2 linked regions of the Drosophila melanogaster genome follow. The protein of the gene in region 2 purifies or fractionates together with the protein of the main gene of each other region. This does not show direct contact. Each region holds a gene or a part of one and is shown on either strand. Other genes may lie near its edges.

Evidence for each region.
Region 1: the proteins of eEF1alpha2 (region 2) and eEF1delta purify together in Drosophila melanogaster (affinity purification with mass spectrometry, with the first as the bait; one large-scale study listed by BioGRID). This does not show direct contact.

Annotation. Positions count from the first base shown.
Region 1 is NT_033779.5:10,229,542-10,237,089, reverse strand, and holds eEF1delta (eukaryotic translation elongation factor 1 delta), read right to left. Parts: upstream 4,584-7,548; 5' UTR 4,518-4,583; coding exon 4,431-4,517; intron 3,610-4,430; coding exon 3,529-3,609; intron 3,334-3,528; coding exon 2,731-3,333; 3' UTR 2,640-2,730; downstream 1-2,639. Other genes in the region: mthl15 (methuselah-like 15), read left to right, coding at 1-163, 543-715, 804-1,059, 1,285-1,363, 1,427-1,605, 1,676-2,062, 2,140-2,303; ova (ovaries absent), read left to right, coding at 7,140-7,385, 7,479-7,548. UniProt on the Drosophila melanogaster protein: EF-1-beta and EF-1-delta stimulate the exchange of GDP bound to EF-1-alpha to GTP.
Region 2 is NT_033777.3:31,734,808-31,742,355, reverse strand, and holds the start of eEF1alpha2 (eukaryotic translation elongation factor 1 alpha 2), read right to left. Parts: upstream 3,889-7,548; 5' UTR 3,827-3,888; intron 2,697-3,826; exon of another isoform or gene 2,647-2,696; intron 2,580-2,646; 5' UTR 2,492-2,579; intron 2,040-2,491; exon of another isoform or gene 2,037-2,039; 5' UTR 2,010-2,036; coding exon 1,187-2,009; intron 730-1,186; coding exon 524-729; intron 447-523; coding exon 87-446; 3' UTR 1-86. Other genes in the region: CG11563 (uncharacterized protein), read right to left, coding at 4,457-4,697, 4,756-5,040, 5,117-5,214; CstF50 (cleavage stimulation factor 50 kD subunit), read left to right, coding at 5,476-6,411, 6,466-6,804.

The sequences.
Region 1 (7,548 bases), on a different chromosome or scaffold from region 2:
ATGAAAATTTGCCAAAAAATACCCTGTATTCGTCGTTGTTGTGCCGAAGGTGAAATGTATGCAAAAGGAAATTTCAGTACCTATTGCAAGATCGATGGAACCGATTTCAAATTTGAGGGTTTTCAGAACCTAAATATCAACGCAAACTTCTCAAAGCCCTCAGGTATGTCGTCACCAGTTTTGCAGTTATTTTTATAGGTCTTTATAGCAGGAAACGAGCGGCAATTGAACGCAGTAATCGCCCATTAAAGTCGTAAACTTAATGATCAAAAATATTATTAAGAATTGGAAGCAATCGATTTTGATGTTTTCCATTTGTCTGATCAAATAAGTGGTATAAACAATTGGTTTCAAGTGCCAAGCAAATTTCGCTATTGAAGTTATCTACGTCATTCATTAGTATTGACATTTTTCATTAGCTTTGTCATTTTAATTATTTTTGTCAAATTTTCTTATCTGGTTAATCAACAAGTGAATGACACATTTGCCTTTTCATTGACATAGGTCAGATTGTATAGTGTATTGTATTCAATACTTTTCAGATTTCGGTATTGTTCACGGCTTGCAGTGCCCAAAGTTTCGCTTGGATCCTGATAATTTTCCAGACGATTCGCATACGATAAATCCGTCCAATGGCTCGCTTATCATTCATAACACATTCAAAACCTATACGAATACTCAGTACTGCGTGGAACGGGTCAGACCCAATCAAAAGGTAAACTCCTTCCTATTTAAATCGACATATTTTATACAGTAGTGTCTTGTATAATCCTAATTATTTGCCTTCGTTCCTTTCAGAGCAGCTGTATACATTTTTGTGCTTTGATAATAAGGTGGTGACCGGCGACAGGATTCGCTTCAAGATGTATCCCATTGGCCTGCTCATATCCTGCTGCTTCTATGCACTCACACTGATTGTCTACATTTCAATTGCCAAATTGAGAAACCTGCCCGGCAAAATCCTAATTTGCCTCGTTAGCAGCTTGTTTGCGGCATATCTTGGAATCGCGCTGGGCCAATTGCGACCCACATCGAATGACGACATCTGTTTTCTTTCTGGTGGGTATTGCAGCCATTAGGTAATTAGTTGCTAATCCTGCTGGGACGAGGAGACCTACAAGTTATTATACCATAAAAGCGGGAAATCGATAGCAATCACTTTTATTATTACATTCATAGTTATACTCGTCAAGTACTTAATTGTTTAAGGGTATTTTGTCTCATTCTCTTGTGCAATTTGGTAACTAAAACCTAAACAAACTGTTTCTGTTTTGTATCTTGAAGGTTTTTTCGTGTACTTCTGTTTAATGGCTGCCTTTTCTTGGATGAACATTACTTCCTTTGACATATGGAAAACATTTGGGTAAGTACAAATGCTTTTGAAATTTAGATAAACTTGCAATAATTTACACTTATTTAATTGTAGATCAACAAAGCTTAAAAGCTGCGAAAAGAGCGACCTGAGAAGGCAGTTTATTTGGTATTCGTGTTATGGCTGGGGGCTACCAACATTGCTAACTGGAATAACCATAGCTTTTACGAAATCTGACATTTTACCGGATGCGGTGCGTCCAAATTTTGGACATGGTCGTTGCTGGTTTACGTGTAAGTTAAAAATCTAATTAAATTACGATTTAAATATTAAAGTATTTGTATATTTTTGTATTAATTCCAGATGATTCTTTTGGTTCAGCCAGCTTATTGTTCTTTTCGGGTCCAGTTGGCATACTTTTCATTATAAACTTAGTTCTATTCGTGCTCACAATGAAGTATTGCAACAAAGTAAAAAATGAAATATACAAAATGCAGAGCTTGAACAGCGACAAGCCAGTTTTGAAAAGGCGATTCTTTCAGGACAAAACCAGATTCGTTATGAACACGAAACTGTGTTTCGTAATGGGCATCACATGGCTGTTGGAAATAGTTAGCATTTTGTTTTATGATCACAAGAAAACGTTCTTTTGGACCATCAGCGATTCGTTTAATGTGCTACTTGGAATCTTTGTCTTCATTATATTTGTGTTTAAGCGCAGAATTTATAACGAAATTATGTTTAAGTTTGGTAAGTTTCAGTGGCATCAATTAACTGGCAGTTAGTTGAATATACTACATGTAATTTGTATTTATTTAATCTTTAAGGTCTGCAATCAAATCCGAGCACTGCATCGACTAGAACCCGCGCTGGCGTGACCAAATCCTATGCTCCAACCAGCACCGCGATGACCACTCTTCGACATTCTCCTGGCAGCTGTGAGTTTAAGCGCCAAACGTCGACGAGACCCGAAAACGAAGTTATGCTTTAGGATGGTTAAATAACTTATGATTAACTATTTATAATTTGTAGAGCCTTATGAAACTAGTCCCTCAGTTTAATCATTATTAATATGTGCATAATTTAGCTGTGACCTGGAATATTTATTTAATAGGTAATTTGCATTGTTTTTATACTCGTGCGTAAATGAATTTAATTAATCAAAGAATGGCGAATACATGACTTAAACTAATATATATCTTCTTTTCTTATAAATTTTGAAATAATATGGCCTTTTAGCGAATTCAAAACATATCGTTTGCATAAAAAATATCCTAAAGTAAACTATTTACCAATTACTCCCAGTTTAAATGCAGTTTTTTAAGTTGGTTTTTATCAAAATATTTATTTAGACGACTCCCAAACACATTTGTAATGCGGCAAATCCGATCGTGAATTGAAAAATTATATGTTACCCCTTAGATTTTGTTGAACGCAGCGATGTCAACACTTTGGACAAAGTCTTCCAGTTTCTCGATCTCCTCAGTCAGCCAATCGATGGAAACCTTATCATCCTCAACCACGCATGAAATGCTCAGTTTCTGAATGCCAAAGGCAACTGGCACGAATTTGGAAGCTCCCCACAGTAGACCGTCCTGGGTGATTTTGCGGATTTCCGTCTCCATAACCTTCAGATCGGTCTCATCGTCCCACGGCTTAACATCCAGAATGATGTTCGACTTGGCAATAATTTGAACTTTCTTGGCCTTCTTGGCAGCATAGGCTGCCAGCCTTTCCTCCCTTATGCGGGCGGCCTCTCCATCCTCCTCCTCGCTGTCCGATCCAAATAGATCCACATCGTCATCGTCGTCGTTCGCTTCTGGTTTTTTCGCTTCGACCTCGGGCTCTTTCGACACTCCATTCGTCAATTTCAGCTGAGTTTCCAAGCGCTTCACTGTGGCAGTCAAAAGTTCGTTCAACAAGGAAACCTGGGTCTTCAACTCCTTGTGTTCACCCTCCAATTGGGCCAGACGCTTGGCCAGCTCGGAATTTAAGCCATCGTCCAGAGTAACGCCATCGATCTGGAACACACACAAAAGGCTTGATTAATAATTCAAATTCAAGTCCTCATTGGGATATGTTGATCATAAGTACAGACTAAATATATTGTAAATAATAATTATACAATTCTCTACAAAGTTTTAAAGAAACCGAAAGAAACCTAGGAATGTGAACAAATCAAATGTTGAAATACAAAGATTTATCACAATAGTTACCTTTTCCAGCGAGTTCTGTATGTGTTCCCTAGCCTTTGCGATTTCGCTTACTAATGGGCTGTAGTGGCTGCGATCAGTTACCTTTAAAAATAAGACAACACCATTGATTACTTGTGTGAACTGACATTTGGTGTATCGAATGGTTGACAAAGGATTCTAGGGATAATAATTTTTAAGCAAAATGAGATGTTTTATGTACGGGCATCTACTTCAAGTCTGTTGTCATGCAAGCATGCTGAAATACTGATAAGCCTCACTCTAATCAGCCCAAAAATTGTACGTAGTTTAAATATTATACAATGCAGTGCTATGCATTTTGTGTAGTATATTTGTGTAGATAGAATACAACGTGTTTAAACCTTTACTTAACTATAGTATTTCCCTGAATTTCAATAGGTTTTAACTTTGTATACATCGATTTGTTTTTGGCACATTTCCATTGAATAAACGAATTTTGTTGTGTAGGTGTCATGTTAAGTACTTATGTTTTGCATACTATATTTTGTATTTATACCAATTGCCAAACGGAAAGTGTATTCAAAATTTGGCTTGCCAGAGTTAGTTTTCTCTCACACTCTGTTTTGTATACACTTTACGCACATAGTTATATTTTTTAAAAGTGTTAAACGTTCACCTGTTACATACAGCTACAAGAATATACCAATGTAATGTGCAATATGAACACAGCAATTGAAAATCAAAGGCAGATAAATATAGAAATCTTTTAATAGATCATTCTACGTATGTATTGAAGTTTAGAACATGTGTGTTTCGGCGTCCTTGCTGTTAAAACAAACAGATTTGCAATAAACATTGCCGAAACCATTTGAACTGATTTACCGGCCACGTGAAACTGGCTAACAACTTAAGTACTTATGGCTGTGATTGCTTAGAGATTTTACCTTCTGGGGACCCTCGTAGAATCGCTTCTCGGCAAGATCGTAGCGGCTCTTGTCAGCCCAGAATTTGTCCAATGCCTCTACTTTCATTTTTAGTCTTTCGCCCGCAGATTTACTCAAACACGTTGCACAATTGGCTGAACAATACGATAACACGTTTGAAAGGGAATGCAGGTATATCGATATCTACGCCATCGGATTCGTTTTTTATTGCTACTGAAACGATGGAAATGAAACACGACATTTTTATTTCAACCAAATTTTTAACACGTTCTCATTCTCATACGAACTGCTTTTTGATGTGCGAGTAAATAAACAAATTTATTGCAATTTTTACAAAACGTCCATAAATTGAAACACTTATTAGTGCCCGGAAAGAAATAAAAAAAAAGTTTGATCTCAACGTAGCAAAATGTAAGTTCCACGTGGCACCTCATCGATGTTTGACGAACTTTTGCACAGGCCTGCGGATCAACATGTGTGTATACTTGTCATCAGTTGATTTATTGCTTGTGATGGGTTGCAACGAAATGTTCACCACAATTGTCGTCGTTGCGTGAAGAGGTTTGATGAAAGAGGGATACAGAGGGATACTTTTTTTATATATTATCTTCCACTTAACTATTTAATGCTTCTTCTTCTCTTTAACAAAATTTTTATATCACGGACCTCGTCCTTGTGTGCTACTAAAAAGCTAGAAAAAGATACCATAATAAAAAAAATGTTTTAAAGTTTTTTAAAGGTATACAACTCTCCTTTACTTTGTATAAGAGATTAACAGATGTTTGCGTCAGCTGTGTTTGATGGAATCGAATTAATTCGATGTCGATTTTACACAAAAATTCCAGTACATGTATTTTATTTACAGTAAAAAACTTTTTTAAGAGCAAAGTAAAAGTGCAACATCACATTTTGTTCCATTTCCGCGTTTCAATTTGAAGACTGGGTAGTATTTGTCACAATTATTTCAGCCATTTAGCAGTCAGTTCTCACTTCGACTATTCGATAGCAACTACAACAAATGGTTTTTTTACGAAGAAAGTGTTGTGTACTGTAACTATGTTATCATATTTGTGATTGTAGATCTCGGTGTCTACCGTTTTGTTAATCATTGCGAATTCTTGGTGCGTACTGATGGTGATTCTATTTTGATCGGTTTTTGAGACTCCTTTCTAATGGATTCACTCAGTGATATGTATATGCAGAGAGCACTGAGCATTCCAGAGCACTGAGTTTAATGTATTGCCATACAAAATCGGTGTCGAAATGTTCGTTATCAACCAGTTTAACGTATAAGTGTGTACTATTCAAATTATATTTCAAATGATGCTGAACATAGTAATTTTCGTTGAGTGTATTACATACACTCGTCTAAATCAGGTGGGATATTTATACCACAGCATAATTGTGATGACTCCATTTAACATATGAATATTTGTGTTTATGTATAATTATCTAGAAGTGCTTGTGTGAGTGTGTTTACGTATAAAAATGTCCCAAGTTATGCAGTAAAAATTTTATTTGCAAACTTATTCCACTTCCCTTGGAATACATATGTGTGTTTTTCGTGTGTGTGTGCGTGTGTGTGCATGTACACATATGAGAGCAATTCGTGGTTTTTCAGTAAGGAAATCTGCAGTTAGACGCAAGGTTTATGAGCTGCCCCTTTTGCAAAAGTGAAACGCTGGTCGTGGCTCGCCACAAGAATATATAACTCGTATAAACTGCATAGTTAGCATTCGCGAAGCGATATCGCACAAACCTGTAAGTGGGAACATTCCACTTCATGTCAATTTCATGAAATCGCTAGGCGTAACCACTAGCTTTGGTTCTAAACCAAAGTGGCAACGCCTTTGGCAAAACAAGTATTTTATAAAAAAAAAAGTTTAATCATATTGCTGTACTTTATTGGTACAATGTGTATACGATATATAGTACCTAATAAAGGTACATTTCAAGGATTGTAATTTTGCAAAAAAAAATCATCGATACCTTTATCGATTGTCCCCACGGACTTGACAGTCTGTATCTTCGCCATTTTGTGGTTATCACTCGCCATTTTTTAATGTGACCGTTCATAAAATGGTCCTGCAAAAAAGTAATGTTTGCGGTCACTAAACTAGAGATTTCTAGAACAAAAAGGACGTAAACAGTTATGTATTCTAGACCTTGATCCCTAGGTGTCACAATGTACGTGGCAATTCAATTCCAGGGTAGCTTTAATAGTACCTGAGGGCTTTACGATTATACGAACAAATACGGACTTACAGTCAGTTATGGCTGTATCGACATGGCTAGTAATCCGGATCAAGGCTGTAAAGACTTGTTAGTTTCATATTTTTACGAGTAACTGGCCTTCATCAGGACGGACAGGCAGATGATCATTATATACTTTTCAAGGACTATAGAACAACTATTACACGGTACCTAATTGAGTTTACTCATCACCCTCAGTATTCTCTATTGATCTCGACGTTCATGAGGACGGACAGACATACGGACACAGCTAGATCCATATACTGCGCCCCTTACTTATCACAACTGCTAATAAATATTTGAAATCGTTTGTTTGGTTTGGTTTTAGGAAAGTTTAGTAGTTTTAAATTTTTAAGTAGATATGTTATACATATGTAATCGTTTTAATCGGTTATCTTGGAAAACTATCGATAACATGGCAATAAAATATAACATTTTAATTCACTTGCAGTGACAATGGATGAAAAAGATAAAGCTCAACACAACATGATATCCAACCTACCACTTTTGTTTGCGAACGGATATCCAACATCCCTAGAAAAAATTACGGAGTCCCAGTTAGAAAATTTTATTCCCTTCATGGTGCAATGCTCTTTAGGACACATAAACTTACCAAAGAAAATAGATTGCAGTGAACCAGAATGGTGGCCCGAAAGCGCTCCTTTCGAGATTCCGCTCAAAAAGCCGAAAGCATTTGTTGGGGTAAGCTTTTTTCCCTTACCTTTTGATTTCTATGGCTTATATTTAACATTCACCCCCATAAATGGCTAATATATACCTGTATCTATTTTACAGAATTGGATGGAAAAAATGAAAGAAATTGTGGTTATATGCTATCAATTTCACAAAAGCTTATTTCTATTAA
Region 2 (7,548 bases):
TTGTGTGTTGTTGCTGCTGTTGCTCTAGCCGTCTGTTTTTGTTGTTGTTGGGTTCGAGTGATGACGTTGTTCTGCTGGCACCCTAGTTATTTCTTCTTCTGTGCCTTCTCAGCGGCTTTTGTCACCTTGCCCGAGGTCGTCTCTTTAAAGTTCACCGACTTGATGACGCCCACGGCCACGGTCTGCCTCATGTCGCGCACAGCGAACCGTCCCAGCGGTGGGAACTCCTGGAAGCTCTCTACGCACAACGGCTTGCTGGGCACCAGCACAATGATGGCCGCATCCCCGGACTTGATAGCCTTCGGCTCCGTCTCGGTGGTCTTGCCCGTACGGCGGTCGCACTTCTCCTTGATCTCGGAAAACTTGCAGGCAATGTGCGCCGTGTGGCAATCCAAGACGGGAGTGTACCCATTGGCGATCTGGCCCGGATGGTTGAGCACAATCACCTGTGGGCAAAAAGAAAAAAAAAAACCAAACAAAGATGAGTTCAACTATCAAAGATTTCTCATCTTTGTTACCCTACCTGAGCGGTAAAGTCGGCTGCTCCCCTAGGAGGATTGTTCTTGGAATCGCCGGCCACATAGCCACGACGGAGCTCCTTCACGGACACGTTCTTCACGTTGAAGCCAACGTTGTCGCCGGGCATGGCTTCGGTGAGAGCCTCGTGGTGCATCTCCACAGACTTTACTTCGGTGACCAGGTTGACCGGCGCAAAGTTGACGACCATGCCTGAAACGAAACCGGAAACGAAGCGACCGAAACGAAGTTACATATCCGGACGTTATGTGTAGACATTTGGATGGGGGTGGGTGCATACAGAGAGAGAAACGTGGAGCGATATTATTCGAACTAACTCCAATTTATTTTTATTTGAATCAATAGCTCTACATATATTAATATGTTAGCTAGGGTTATTTTATTTTAATGGCCTTTCACTTTCATGTTGAAAATGGAAGCTCTTCGGAGTGAGAATTTCACCAAGTGCATGAGGTGGAGGGTCTCGCTCTCGACGAAGACGTTCGCTCAATAATGCATACATGCGCAAGACTTCGTTGCGGGCTCCGCTTTGGAGGCGGTGGCTGTTGGATGCCAGCCCACTGTCGACCCAAATTTTGCAGAATACATGTATGAAGTGCCCAAAGAGAAAAGAGGGCCCACACCCGACCTCATCAACCCGGAGCCTTACCTGGCTTGAGGAGACCAGTCTCCACACGACCTACTGGTACGGTTCCGATGCCTCCGATCTTGTAGACGTCCTGGAGCGGCAGGCGCAGCGGCTTGTCGGTGGGACGCTGGGGTGGAAGGATCGCGTCCAGCGCGTCGATCAAGCACTTGCCCTCTGCCTTGCCTTCCTTGCGCTCCACGGACCATCCCTTGAACCAGGGCATCTTCTCGGACGGCTCCAGCATATTGTCGCCGTGCCATCCGGAGATGGGCACGAAGGCCACCGAGGCCGGATTGTAGCCGATCTTCTTGATGTACGAGGACACCTCCTTCTTGATCTCCTCGTAGCGGGCCTCGCTGTACGGCGGCTCAGTGGAGTCCATCTTGTTGACGCCCACAATAAGCTGCTTCACGCCCAGCGTGAATGCCAGAAGGGCGTGCTCGCGGGTCTGGCCGTTCTTCGAGATCCCGGCCTCGAACTCTCCAGTTCCGGCGGCGACGATCAGCACCGCACAATCGGCCTGAGAGGTACCGGTAATCATGTTCTTGATGAAATCCCTGTGACCAGGGGCATCGATGATGGTCACATAGTACTTGGACGTCTCGAACTTCCATAGGGCAATGTCGATGGTGATGCCCCGCTCCCGCTCTGCCTTCAGCTTGTCCAGTACCCAGGCGTACTTAAAGGAGCCTTTTCCCATTTCCTGGGCCTCCTTCTCGAACTTCTCAATCGTACGCTTGTCGATGCCGCCGCATTTGTAGATCAAGTGGCCGGTGGTCGTCGACTTGCCGGAGTCCACATGGCCAATGACCACAATGTTAATATGGATCTTCTCCTTGCCCATCCTTGCAGATTAAGCTATTTTTTAGAGCTGCTGGGAGACAGAAGGGATGCAGGTATTCGGATGAGCAAAGTGGGTGGTTTCCGTACTCGGGGAGGTAGCATGCCAATGTGGGTCTGAACTTAATGGGTGGTGCAGACGAGTGACGTCTGTATGCTGTGGGTCGTGTCATCGTGGTGTAGACACCAAAAGCACACTTCATACGGACAGGCACAAACGTACACCAGGGAAAACCATTGAACTTTTATATTTCGAAAATACGAATTTTAAACAATTCAAGAGTAAACACGAAAATCACGCGAAAAGTTTACCAATTAGTTCAAATTAAGCCTTATACTGAATAATAGGAAAAATATAAATACACATGTATGTTTTTACGGACTCTTATGGACACTAATGTGTACGATTGAGAAATACACCCATATTCCCATAATATTTTTGCCCACAAATGTATGCAGCAAGAATTTACAAGCAGAAAAACTCACCTGTTTTCACGAGACTTTCTAGAGTTTCTTATTACTCGGCAACGCTGCGCACTTAGAAACTGATCACAAACCCACGCGACGCTATATCCTAGAATTAGAAGGAAATCGTTGTCATAAAAATGGCAGTTTTTAAACTCTATGCGGATCTTCCGTACTCTGCAGCCGGACCACGACCGGGCCAAGTGTCTGTTGGTTAAAGACTGCCGTGTATATCCTCTGCCGAAGTGCACCGGGCGAAAAATCAATAACGAGCCCCAGACAGAAACGAATGGAGCCGAAGTGTGCGTACTGGGAAAATGCACTCTCCTCGGCTGGAGAGGATTAAGCCGAAGAGAAACCCTCGTCGGAAAGCCGGGAAGTGCGGCAGTGCATGGCGAAAATGTGCCGGCCGGCGTTTTTAGTGGGAAAACCAATGAAAATCGCACACCCAAACGGATTTCAATTAAAGCCAAATGTCGAAATGCCGAAATTTGGCAGCTTTCGCAGCACGGTGGAAGAAAATTCAAAGGGAAATGGCCAAAAGCATCGGCATTCGGTGGCGGTCGTGCGGCGAAAATTCCGCGATTCCAAAGGGTGAAAAACTGTAGAGGGAGATGGAGAGAGCGGGAGAGAAAGGGACGGCGAACGGGCGCAGTGCACTTGCTGGTCATGCAGAGAAGGAAGGGAAAGAGACGGCGAGAACTGCAGGGCGTTGTGATTTATTTTCTACCCCAGTGACAGTTTCACTTGCCGATTTTCCTGCATGTTATTTTTAAATCTTTGTATTTGCATCGAAGTGCAAATTGGAAGAAGCAATGGGAATGAAGGGGGAAAGAATATGCAAAAATACTTCGTCAGAGATGCAGGGCAGGAAAATAATCTGCTAACCATGTGTCATCATGCCGCGGATATTTTTTTTTTGCCTGCGAATTCCAATAGAAACTACTCGGGAATAAACGGCTTGAGAACGGGAAGGAGAAACGGGTACAATCCAGGCAAAATCGAACGCGCACACACATGCAGCCGGTCGCCATGTTGGAATTCGAAAGTCTATGCAACTTTATTAATTTACTTGCAATTTAAGGTCGCTGGAAAACCAATTTCCAATTCGAATCGATTTACACAGCTATTATGCAAAAGGAATGAGAAGACCGGCCGGCAGCGCAAATCACTTACACTCTCTCACTTTTCGGAACTTTCTTTACTTTAGAACTTTCTTTAGGTTGGAAAATCGAACCGAAATTCGCCTAATAATGCAGGGTAGGGAATTCTGGGACTTTCCCTTTTTACATTTCCACAACTAATCAATGCCTATTAATATTTTCACAATTTAACGGGAGCTCTGCGTGCACTTACCTCGAAATCACAAAACGGAAAGACCGAAAAAGCAACGATGCTGAGGTGAACGGAGCTGAACTGATTCCGACCTAGAGATGGCACAGGATTCCATGTATGACAAGGGCCTTGGGTTTCCTATTGCATTATGCGGATTTCTTGACTTAAATAAAGTTTCCATCCCTTAAGTATAAAACGTACCAAAATAAAAATAGTAATACAATTTTACTACCATTCATGGAATATTTTATATTCTCTTAAACTGAGTCTTTTGCAGATAAAATAATATAGTACTTTCACGGACTGTCACTAAAAGTATGCACATTCACCACTAATTGCAAAAGACATTGTGCACACTATTCGCTTATGCGTTGAAATAAGACGCAAGCTCCTTCCTTTCTCTCTCTCTCGTCCTGTCGTACGACAGAACAATAGAAAATTTGACAGAACAAAAATGTTAGAAAGGAATTTGAAAAAATACTGTTAATAGTAATGTAATGTAATTAACAGTAATGCTTTAATACGTAGACCTTTTGCGTTCGTCTTTACTTGCCTATTTTATTGTATTAAAAGAATTAAAGTAAGTCTAAACATTACAATTAATAGCATTAGAACCCGAAAACGACTATAATGTACATTGGTCAAGAGCCATTATTTCCATTCACTGTCCGACTCGTATTCCTCCCAGTCCGGTTTCACGCCCACGGGCAACTTCTTCTGCTCCAGGTAAACGTTAAACTGCTCCGGAATCGACATAAATCTGCGAATCTTCAAGCGGAACTGCCGCCACGTCCACTGGCCAAAGTTTTTCCGATCGGCAACCATCGCCTTGTAGTTAAACTTATGTTTGTTAAGAAAGTAGGACAGTTCCTTGACCACGCCCTTGGGTAATCTGTGCAAATACAAAACCTGTATTTTGACAGTTTTCCATTGCAGAATCAATATTTTACCTGAACTCTGGGTCGGCTCGCTCGCTAGCCAGTTGTTCTAGTTCCTGGACTACGTGTCCACGTTTTGGACCCTCCTCTACGACTGGTTTCTTGAGGCCCAATACACGCCGCTCATCCTCGTCCAGCTCCTCCTCCAGAAACCCATTCACAACTCGGGCCGCTAGGAGGCGGTCCTTCTTGTAGCTGGGAATCGCAATGGCCTTGTTGACGTCCTTGGCCAACCCCATTTCACTGAAGTTGGTGCCCACACGCTGGTCCTCCATCCACATCTTTTTCATCCTGGGACTGGTAAGATCATAACAGAAGGTTTTCGTAAACTTGTTGACTCTATTGGCTGTAAGTGCACCAAGATCCAACTTACTCCTTAATTTTTCCGGTGGAACTCCGGGTTTTATTCATCGTCTTGCGGTTTACATTGTAGCGATAACGCTTGCGAGCATGATTCTTGCGGATCTTCATTGTTGAGAGGTTTAATTAATGAATCAAACAATGTTTAAAATCAATTGAGGGGACCAAAACAATTTTAAAACCGCACGTGTTGCAGCTGTTAGGAGTGACCGTGGACCGTAAAATACCGAAACCCTGATTTCAGTATTTCAATACCGCATAGCTAGAGATGACATACCGGCAAGATAAATGTTTTCGATAACGATAACGGCACGGCGTTATCTACAAGATTTTGTTTATATCCGTAGGAAACAAAATATAAATTAAGCCACCATGCGTGATGAGATTTTGGACCCCAGTAACCTAGTGAAGAACCGGGAGATACTCTACCGACTGATGATCAGCCAGCTGATGTACGACGGCCTGGAGAAGTTCGCCATGGAGCTGTCCATGCTGGTGAAGGCGGACCAGTGCGCTCCCAGTGAACGCCTGCTGCACGTAATGATTGCAGGGATGCAGACGCTGAGCGACAAGGACAAAACCAACTCGGATGATGTGCTGCCCGGCATAGACTTGGAATTCGAGCCGGAGGCTTCGGCCTTGGCCCCGGAACCACATTCCTACGAAACCGCGTATGTGACCTCGCACAAGCAGGCCTGTCGCGCCGGCGCCTTCAGTTGCGATGGTTCCCTGGTGGCCACCGGGAGCGTGGATGCCAGCATCAAGATTCTGGACGTGGAGCGGATGCTGGCGAAGTCTGCGCCCGAAGATATCGAGCCGGGCAGGGAACAACAAGGCCATCCAGTGATTCGCACGCTCTATGATCACACTGATGAAGTGTCTTACCTGGAGTTCCATCCCAAGGAGCACATCCTGGCCTCCGCCTCGCGCGATGGCACTGTTAAGTTGTTTGACATTGCCAAGCCTTCGGTAAAGAAGGCCCACAAGGTGTTCACCGACTGCGAGCCGGTGCTGTGCCTGTCTTTTCATCCTACTGGTGACTACGTAGCCATCGGAACGGAACATAACGTCTTGCGGGTCTACGATGTGGCCACCACCCAATGCTTCGTGAGTGCCATTCCCTCGCAGCAGCACAAGGCTGGAGTTACTTGCGTGAAATATTCGCCCACGGGGAAACTCTACGCCACAGGCAGCTATGATGGTGACATCAAAATATGGGATGGGATCAGCGGGCGGTGCATCAACACCATTGCCGAGGCGCATGGCGGAGCGGCAATATGCTCACTGGAGTTTACGCGGAATGGAAAGGTAATGGGACACTATGGGTAGTGGCTGTGCAAGATTTTAACTTATTCATTTTAGTACCTCCTATCTTCCGGTATGGATTCACTGGTTTATCTGTGGGAGCTGTGTACCAGTCGTCCCATTCAGACGTACACGGGCGCTGGAACCACCGGCAAGCAGGAGCACCAGACAGAGGCTGTATTCAACCACACAGAGGATTACGTGCTTTTCCCCGACGAGGCCACCACTTCGCTTTGCTCGTGGAACTCCCGTAACGGCTGCCGCCTGACCCTTAACTCGCTTGGACACAACGGACCTGTCCGCTATATTACGCATTCGCCCAATGGTCCTGCTTTCCTCACCTGCTCCGACGACTTTCGGGCACGTTTCTGGTACCGAAGAGCAAATAATCAGTAAACGGATGAAGCTACACCAATCGAATAAAACTTTAAGGAATAAAATATGTACACGTTCATTATTCAATTATTGTGATTGGCTGTGGGGGTTTTTAAGTGTATCGATTTGTGATTTTATCAGAATTAATGAAATATGTTTCAAACGCTTTTAAAAATAATTAATCAGTAAAATTTTCTTTATTAAAAACTCGTTTGTGGTTTTTCCATGAATAGTTATCCTAAAATCGCAACTATAATTTCTAGTCATTGAGCGCACAAGTCTTAAGTCGTATTTGTTGCGTTAAGTAAACTGTAAAAATCATAATACATAATACCAGATTGGGATTCCGTATAAATATCAGTTGTCTCTTCACTGGAAGTCCGTTTTGTTGTACGCTGGAACATTGATCCAATGCCTTATGACTACACCTAGATCCTAGTTAAGTGGCCTTAGTAGTTAATTAAGTTTACAACATTTCGTGGGGCCGCAGAACAGCGTTGTCGCGTTCCTCCGAAGCCACCAACACGTTTTGAAGATTGCACAATTAGCCAATACATTTGATTCCAACTTGTTGCCAAGGAAATGAACAAAATTATACTACGGACTTTGAGTATTAAACAAAATATAGCTATGTACAACAAAAAATAAAAAACAAAGGTCTATATAAAAAGGTTTAACAAAATCACAAAGAGAAATGAAAAGTTCTAAAGTTGCTTGCCTTACGGATCGTGTGCGGATCCAGTAAGCGGCCAGTCGAATTGTTTA